Drosophila melanogaster: one gene and its partner. The protein of the gene in region 1 interacts with the protein of each later gene in a pairwise test. Each region holds a gene or a part of one and is shown in the gene's direction. Other genes may lie near its edges. The genes, in order: klar and Lsd-2.

Region 1 (3,922 bases):
TTGTGGCATTTGTGCCCCGCGCAGCATGGGAGAAATCACCGTGGAGCTGTACTGGAAACACGCGCCCAACACCTGCCGCAACTTTGCCGAACTCTCGAGAAGGGGCTACTACAACAACGTGGTGTTCCACCGGATCATCAGGGACTTCATGATCCAGGGCGGCGATCCCACGGGCACTGGCCGCGGAGGCGCCTCCATCTACGGATCGGAGTTCGCGGACGAGCTGCACGGCGACTTGAGGCACACGGGCGCGGGCATCCTCTCGATGGCCAACTCTGGACCGGACACCAACGGGTCCCAGTTCTTCATCACGCTGGCGCCCACGCAGTGGCTGGATGGCAAGCACACGATCTTCGGCAGGGTCTACACGGGCATGGAGGTGGTCAAGCGGATCGGCATGGTGGAAACCGACAAGAACGATCGCCCCGTGGATCCCCTAAGGATCATCAAGGCCAAGGTGGAGAAGCTGTGAGCCAAGGAGGTGGATTTTTTGGAGGAACTGCTAGAATAAGTACGATTTAAACAAGCGAAAGGTATCTTTCCATATGGATTTTATAACACTGATTATATGTATTTACGGAATGACTAGAAAGACAAGATCTCTTTGATTGGTTGATCACAGGATAGCGTAGCCCTATTTTACATGGTGCTGTCCAACATGTCCACCAGCCGCTTGATCTGCCTTCTGCGGAAGAGAAAGTCCATTACACTAAAGGGATCTGTCTTGAATTGACCCACTTACATGCGCTGACCCAGCTGCTCTGTGGGTTTCATCGACTTGGTGATTTCCTCCGCCTTGGCCAGCAATTGGTACTGGCACTTGATATTCGCGTCCAAAGTGTCCGTCAGCTTGTTGACCGCGTTGCGATGGACCTCCACGTTGTCGGCCGTTATGGAGGAGATTGAGTGCAGCAGGTTGCCCAGGTTTTCCATCAGATTGTCCACCGAGCTGGCCAAGTACTGAGCCTCCAGTTCGATGTCGCTCAAGACGCTGCCGTCCACTTCGGGAATGTTGCGCGACTGCAGGAACCGCCGCGTGAGCAGACCGTTGCCGGAAGTGGCTCCAATGGGACCCATGGAGCTCAGGGGCGTGGTGTGCTCCGAGGAGTAGGCCGAAGCCGCCACGCGCTCGCGCAACTTGGCCTCTAGATCGTGGGCCACAAAGTGGCGCATCCCGTCGGAGTCACTGGTTTCGCCGTCCAGCTCGTAGGGCACAGCTGAAAGAAGGAAGATGCTTTAGTCAGGAACTATGGGTAGATAACCTAGAACCCACTGCTCTCTGCCTTCAGTCTGTGCCTTTCGATGTCGCCGGAACTGCCCTTAGAGTTGCTATTCGAGTTGCTGTTGTCCTCCTCCTCCAAGGGATCGTCTTCCTCGTCGGGATCCTCGCCCGAATCCAGGTTAAGGTATTTCTCGCCGTTGGGTCTTGTCTTTGTGCTTCCGGGAATCGCAGCATGGCCAGTGGCTGTGGGCGTCAGATCCTGGAGCACGTGCTCTGGCACCGCTCCCGGATACTGAGCCAGGAACGGAATTTCCGTGTAGGAGGAGGCGGGCGTGGCTCCGGATCCAGAACTCCTGGCTGCCCCTTCCGATGGGCCACTCTCCTCGGCCACATAACCGTAACGTGGGCGGATGGGAATGTCCTGGTGGCGGTGCGACATTCTGCACTGCTCTTTTCAATCCAAGGAACTTTAGGCAGACTAAGAAATGTATGTCAATTTTCTGAATGAAAACCAAAACAAAGCATTTACTGGTATATACCAAATGGTTATCGATAACATCTATTTATCGAATGTATTTGCATTAGGCCCTGTTCAGGCTGAGGTCCACCTTACCTATATCGAGCCTTTTTTACGTAGGATTGACCTATGCAACTTGATGTGCGTAAACTATATTTTCCTAACCCTGATGGAAATTTCGGTTTTAGTGAGAAACAGATTTCAGATGTTATTTGGTTGAGTATATGACAGTTCGATAGTATCGCACACTTACTCTTCACGATTTTGCTTTTACCAAGAAATGGTCACACTCCAGCTCGCACTATCGAGTCATCGATAGGACCGATAGGCCAGCCCGTTAAATCGAAGACAGTCGTGTTTATAATTTGCGGCTCCGAGGTGTGCGGCGCGCATTGGGCAGACTGGAGTGAACTAAGTAAATCTGCAGCGTTCTAATTTAATTGCGCGATGAGCGCGTAAAAACACACCTGCGTAGCGCTGCAATAAAACCAATGTAGATTTTTGTTTATATGTTCGCGTTTCCATCGTATTTTTCGAGTCTTATTCGTTTTAATTGTTAGTGCTCGTACGCTAAGTGAATTGCTAGCAACTTGGGGCTAAAAGTGCCAAAAAGAGCCAGAATCGAAAAGAAGCGGCTAAAGAGGAATAAGCGAAAAGGAAGCAACGAAAACGGTGTTTTGCTCTCTTTCTCCTCTCTCATCCTCGCCATGTGTGTGCGTGTGCAAATGTGTGTGTTGGCGTCGCTAAAAAAGTGCATGTGAAGATTAGGAAAATAATAAGGAAGGCAACGAAAAGTAAAATAAAATTTGATGTACAAAATACGCAAATTGGTGACAAACAATGTACAAGTGGCATACATGAAATAAAGTTTTATGCAAAAAAAACAAAATCGACTGCAGTGCGTGCACTTGTGTGTATGTGCCGCTGCATATGTGTATGTGTGCAGTGTGGAAATAAAGCAAGAGAGAAAAAAAAACTGTTTGCAGCCGGGGTACAAATTCCAATTGGAGTCTCAAGGAGCATAAATTCCCATTCGACGCATGCGTGGCTGCTAAAAAAAGCAAGTAAGTTAAATTGTTTGTACTAAAGAATCTTATAAAATGCAACTGAAAATGGATAAAAGTGTAAAAAAAAGGAAAGACTTTTTTGCCTTCTCTGTTTTCTACGGGTACGTACGAATGTGTGTGTGTGTGTGCTCTCTTCTATTTTGTTCTTGACTTCTTGTTCTTTTCTTCTTCTTGGCCAGTTACTCTTATGCTTTGTCTTTCTTCTCAGGCCGTTCTGCTTCTTTCTTTTAACTGCAAATTGTGCAGTCAGCAAGTATGAGAGCGAGAAAGAGACAGCGATCTTTCTTTTTCACCCACCCACTTCTTCCCCTCTTCCTCTAGCGGTTATATTCGCTTTATTGTATTGGTGCTTTTCCTATCTATATCTACCGTTATGTTTCGATTGCGATTTCGTAATAACTGCGATAATATTTGCTCTCTCTCGCTCTTCTTCTCTTTCGGCTTTCCACTCTCTTCCCTTTTAGTTATGTGTGTGTAACTGCACATTTGAATTGTTGTTGTTTTTATTAAAATGCGTGGGTTGATTTTTCAATCAATCAATCAATCGTTTATTTTGGCATCGATAATATGGAAAAGTGGATTGATATGTGGACAAGAAAAGCATGTGATGAATCAGGAGAAAGGAATTACTCGATAATTAGCTTCTAACTTTTATATTCTGTAAAAAAATGTATTTTTAAACGTCTAAATCCAATAGGAAAAACAAGCAAGTTGGTCGAAAATAAAAGAACTCAATTTCTGGATCCTTGTTTTGTTAAGTATTTCCCTATTTCGCACTTTAAATTCCATTCCATTTCTATAAACAAATGTTGTCGCACTCTTACTGTTTATTTACATCGCATCGAAGAAAGATTTTCCATTTTCATGGGCGACACTTGAACGGGGTTTTCTCTGGCCTTTTCCCACAACCATTTCCTCGTCGAGCACTTAAATGAAAATGCTGTTTTTATTTATTGATTTCCATATTGCATTCATCTCGCGTTTTCCCGCTCGCCCACTCGATGACCCGCTGACCCAGCGGGAAATGGAAAATCGTTTACTGCAACATTTTACTGGTGCCCTCTTCCTAGATTTCCCACCCTCCCCTCTCGTGGGTTTCCCCATTTTCCTCGGGGC
Region 2 (3,922 bases), on another chromosome or scaffold:
CACTGAGGGGCATTAACCCATTTTGGATTTTTGGAATCTAGGTGTTTCGAAAGATGGAGAATATTTTGATCCCTTGGGTTTTTTGGGATCTAATTGAAATCCAAGCGAATAAGGTTATTTTCCAAAGTTTTCATTAACTCTTCATCTAACTCAAGGAAATTATTCCTTTATGAACTTATTGTAGATTTTAGGGACTAAAAACGTGCTGATGGATGGTTTAAAAAAAAAGGAGGATGGTGCTTCGTTTTAGGGGTTAACTTAGCACGTTTCGCGCTTGTAGTTTTCGTAATTTGTTTTCGTTTTGTCACTAATCGGACTTTGGATTGCCAAGCGAATTACACAGCATTCGGCAAGTATTACGTAGAATACTGAATGTAGATGTTTGACTGTGCAATGGCGTATTATCGATGCGGTGGCAGGGGTTCAAAGGTCGCACGAAGCTTTTGCGTGGCGTTGCCCATTGGCCATTGATAATCGAAGTGCCCCCATACACAGAAATACATATGTACGTATGCACATATATGTACATAAATATATATTGCAATGTACTTCAATCTAAACTTTGTTTGCGCCCGACACAACGTATTAATTAATCTAGTTGTCAAGCATGCCGAACAAACGTAGGCACTGTCTCTCTTCTTTTCCCAAATTTCTTTCTTTCTCTTCAGCTCTCTTGTTTTCTGAACAGAATAATTGGACCCCCCTCCAAGGACAACACAGAAGAATTGCACTATGAACTCTGCATAGATCGGGAAAAAATGATCAAAATTAGTTTGATCATGATAGAAGAATTGTTTATAATTTGATAATGGTACATTCTTTCACCTGATTTTCTAATTATGTTTTACCTCGAAAATAAAGATAATGAAAATTGTTTCAAAACTATTTTAAGTTTCATTTAAAACAGATATAGTACACAATTGTACTTATTTCAAACAAAGCGTTTGTACTATAATAATTCATCATAACAATTTAAGTGTACTGTTCAAAAACTATAGTACATTTATTCATATTATAATTACAGTTTGTCAAGAAACTGTTTACACACTGTGAAATAAGTTGAATTTTTGACTTTAAAGCTAAAAATTAAGTGTTTTTTGCTTAATTAAACGCAATTTTTGTATAAAATAAAATTAAACAGTATTTATTTTACTTATAAATCAAAAAATAAATTAAATATAATTTAATTAAATATAAAATAATAATTCGCTTCAAGCAAAGTCAAACAAATTTCATTAGAAGCGTTGTAAAAAGCAATGCAAAGCCAAAAATAACGGAAAAATCGAGTTCGTTCTAAGAAAAAGAACAAAACAAAGTAGGAAAACAAAATGTGTAAAGAGTTTCTTGACAGTCTCAAAGGTGTGTAAACTTGGATTATGTTGTTTATTTTCTTGTATATTTAATATTTTAATATTTGTTTTTTGATTTATAAGTAAAATAAATATTGTTTAATTAAATTTTATAAAAAAAATTGCGTTTAATTAAGCAAAAAACCTTTAATTTTAGCTTTAAAGTCAAAAATTCAACTTATTTCACAGTATGTAAACAGTTTCTTGACAAACTGTATATGGGGTCCTCAAAGAGAGTCCTAATCTCAAACTCTCGCTGATACTGCTTTGGCGCTCTGCTCTCTTCGCAGCGAAGCTATCTTACAGCAGCAAACGATCTAGCTATTTTCAAGATATATGTTGCAAAGAAATGTTCCTAAGCTCATTTATATTATTTGGTTATTTTAACCTTTTTATTTGTTTAGCACTGTTTTTTCACTGTCTGCGATATTTTATTACATTATTATTATTTATTACTCAACATTTTTGATAAACAAATTTGTGTATGGTTAAGTACACAAGTTCGAAGATTTTAATATTATAATTATATTTTGTAGTAATCGTGCTTGTCAAAGCTCATGGTTAAATTTTAATAATACAAAGTGTATTATAGCCACATGACCCTTGACTAGGCATAAATCTTGGAAAAAACACACTGCGGTTTGAACAAAAAGTAAGCTCTATTGGTAAAAACTGTACTTTTTAGCTATTTGACTAAAATTTCCTCATCCACTTCTTGCCACCTGCGGCATCACTGTTGCTCATAGCTTTTTGTTGCTCGGCGCTGGCAACACTGGCGGCGGCACTCGCTCATATAATAAACCAGCCGCGCAGCTCGCAAATCAGTCAGAGAGTCCCAACGAGCAGACGTGAGCAGACGTGCCAAAAAGTGCTAGGAATAAAATAAAACAGAGTGCTTCCAGAACGCAGACACACGCATACCCTACATTCACACACTCACTCGCAGGTTAAGCTGTTTTTTTGTTCGTGAAAGAAAAGAAGCAAGAGGCGAAAAGAAAAGTGCGGTGGCAAGCGGAAGAGCTTGATAGCGAAAGACAGAAAGAAAAAGTGAAAAGGGCAGCAGAAAGCAGCGCAAGAGGAACCAAAGAAAACTGATCATGGCCAGTGCAGAGCAGAAACACGCCACCGGGAACGGAACAACTGGCAATGGAACGGCGATGAACGATGTGGACCAGCCCAAGGATGCCAAGGACCTTCTGCCGCACCTTGAGTCCCTCGAGAGGATCATCAAATTGCCCGTGGTAAATGCGGCATGGGACAAGTCCCAGGATGTCTATGGCAAAGTAAAAGGTAAGTGCAGCAAAGGAAAACAGAAGAAAATGAAAATAAGACCTCCTCCGGGTGCATTGAACTCGCTCAAGTCCCGTTACTTTGGCGCGCCTAACGGCACATATAGAGAATAAACGACCGGTGAAGGAGGAGGTAAATAGCAACAACAATTGCAGCGACCATATGCACTCGAAGCCGTAATCGAAACCGAAACCGTTGCTTTTTTGACTTTGCTTCGCCATTTTATTTCGAGTTGCAATTCGAACTCGAAACGCACATAGAGGGCAGAAACAACTTTTTTTTGTTCAACTTTTTTTTCGTTTAATTGGCCAGAAATTAAGCTCAATTGATATAAATTGATTGCCGGTCGTTCAATAATCGAAATCACAGCAACAACAACCATGACCTAGCAATAAGAAAAGCAAAAAGGCCGGCACTTTGCCCTCGTGACGCGTTGCGTTCAAAGTTCGCTTAAAATTTACATAATAATAAAACAATCTTGGCCAACGCAATAGAGAGCGCAAGAGAGATAGAGTGAGGAGAGAGAGAGCGGTGGCTGACGGCAAAAAGGCCACCGCACGTAGGCTGCAGCCGCAGAGGCGCCGTCAACAAAAGGGGGCTCGTTTTGACAAGAGGAAAAGCAAAGCAGACCCAATGGCAACGCCACTGGCACTGGCAGTGCTGCTCGATCTGACCAAAAGTTAAGCTAAACTTGCACTTTAATTATAGCTAAAATAATGTTACTAGTTTTCTTCTCAATATTGATCCCAGCCTAAGTTTGCCGATCGTAAAAGCACAGATCCCTGAAAAAACAAATACTTAATGCATTTACTAGACAATACCAATTACCGCTGTCGAATAAAGCTAGATTTGGCTGGAAACTAACTAAAGCGGGCAGCACTTATGCTAAGGGGCTCTTGGGGTCTCACCGTCAGCAGCAACGACAACAAAAATTCTAGTTGGACTTTCGACTTGTTTGTGATATTTCGCAGTTGTTGTTGCTGCAGTTGCTGGGACTGGAATTGGAATGGATGATGTGTTTGACGAGTGACGAACTATCAAAGTCTAAACTGGCGGGCCCCAGACAGATAGAATGTAGGGGTCCAAGGGGCCCTGGGGTTCGTGAACTGCGCAGTTGCTTATCAGCCAGAAATGCTACATATTTATTATTACTATTATTATTGTTATTGTTATTATTATTACGGTTGCAACTGATAAGCGCGCTCTTCGTACTTGTGTCACATGTGTGGGGTATTACTACACAATTCTAGAAATTCTAGAAGTTCTAGATCTCTAAATTAAAC

What was found.
Region 2: the proteins of klar (region 1) and Lsd-2 interact in a two-hybrid assay, tested with the Drosophila melanogaster proteins (one study listed by BioGRID).

The regions. Positions count from the first base shown.
Region 1 is NT_037436.4:538,780-542,701, reverse strand, and holds the start of klar (klarsicht), read left to right. Parts: upstream 1-2,087; 5' UTR 2,088-2,803; intron 2,804-3,922. Other genes in the region: Cypl (Cyclophilin-like), read left to right, coding at 25-472; BORCS6 (BLOC-1 related complex subunit 6), read right to left, coding at 640-685, 743-1,217, 1,274-1,661.
Region 2 is NC_004354.4:15,074,465-15,078,386, reverse strand, and holds the start of Lsd-2 (lipid storage droplet-2), read left to right. Parts: upstream 1-2,166; 5' UTR 2,167-2,446; coding exon 2,447-2,639; intron 2,640-3,922. UniProt on the Drosophila melanogaster protein: Essential for embryogenesis. Required for normal deposition of neutral lipids in the oocyte.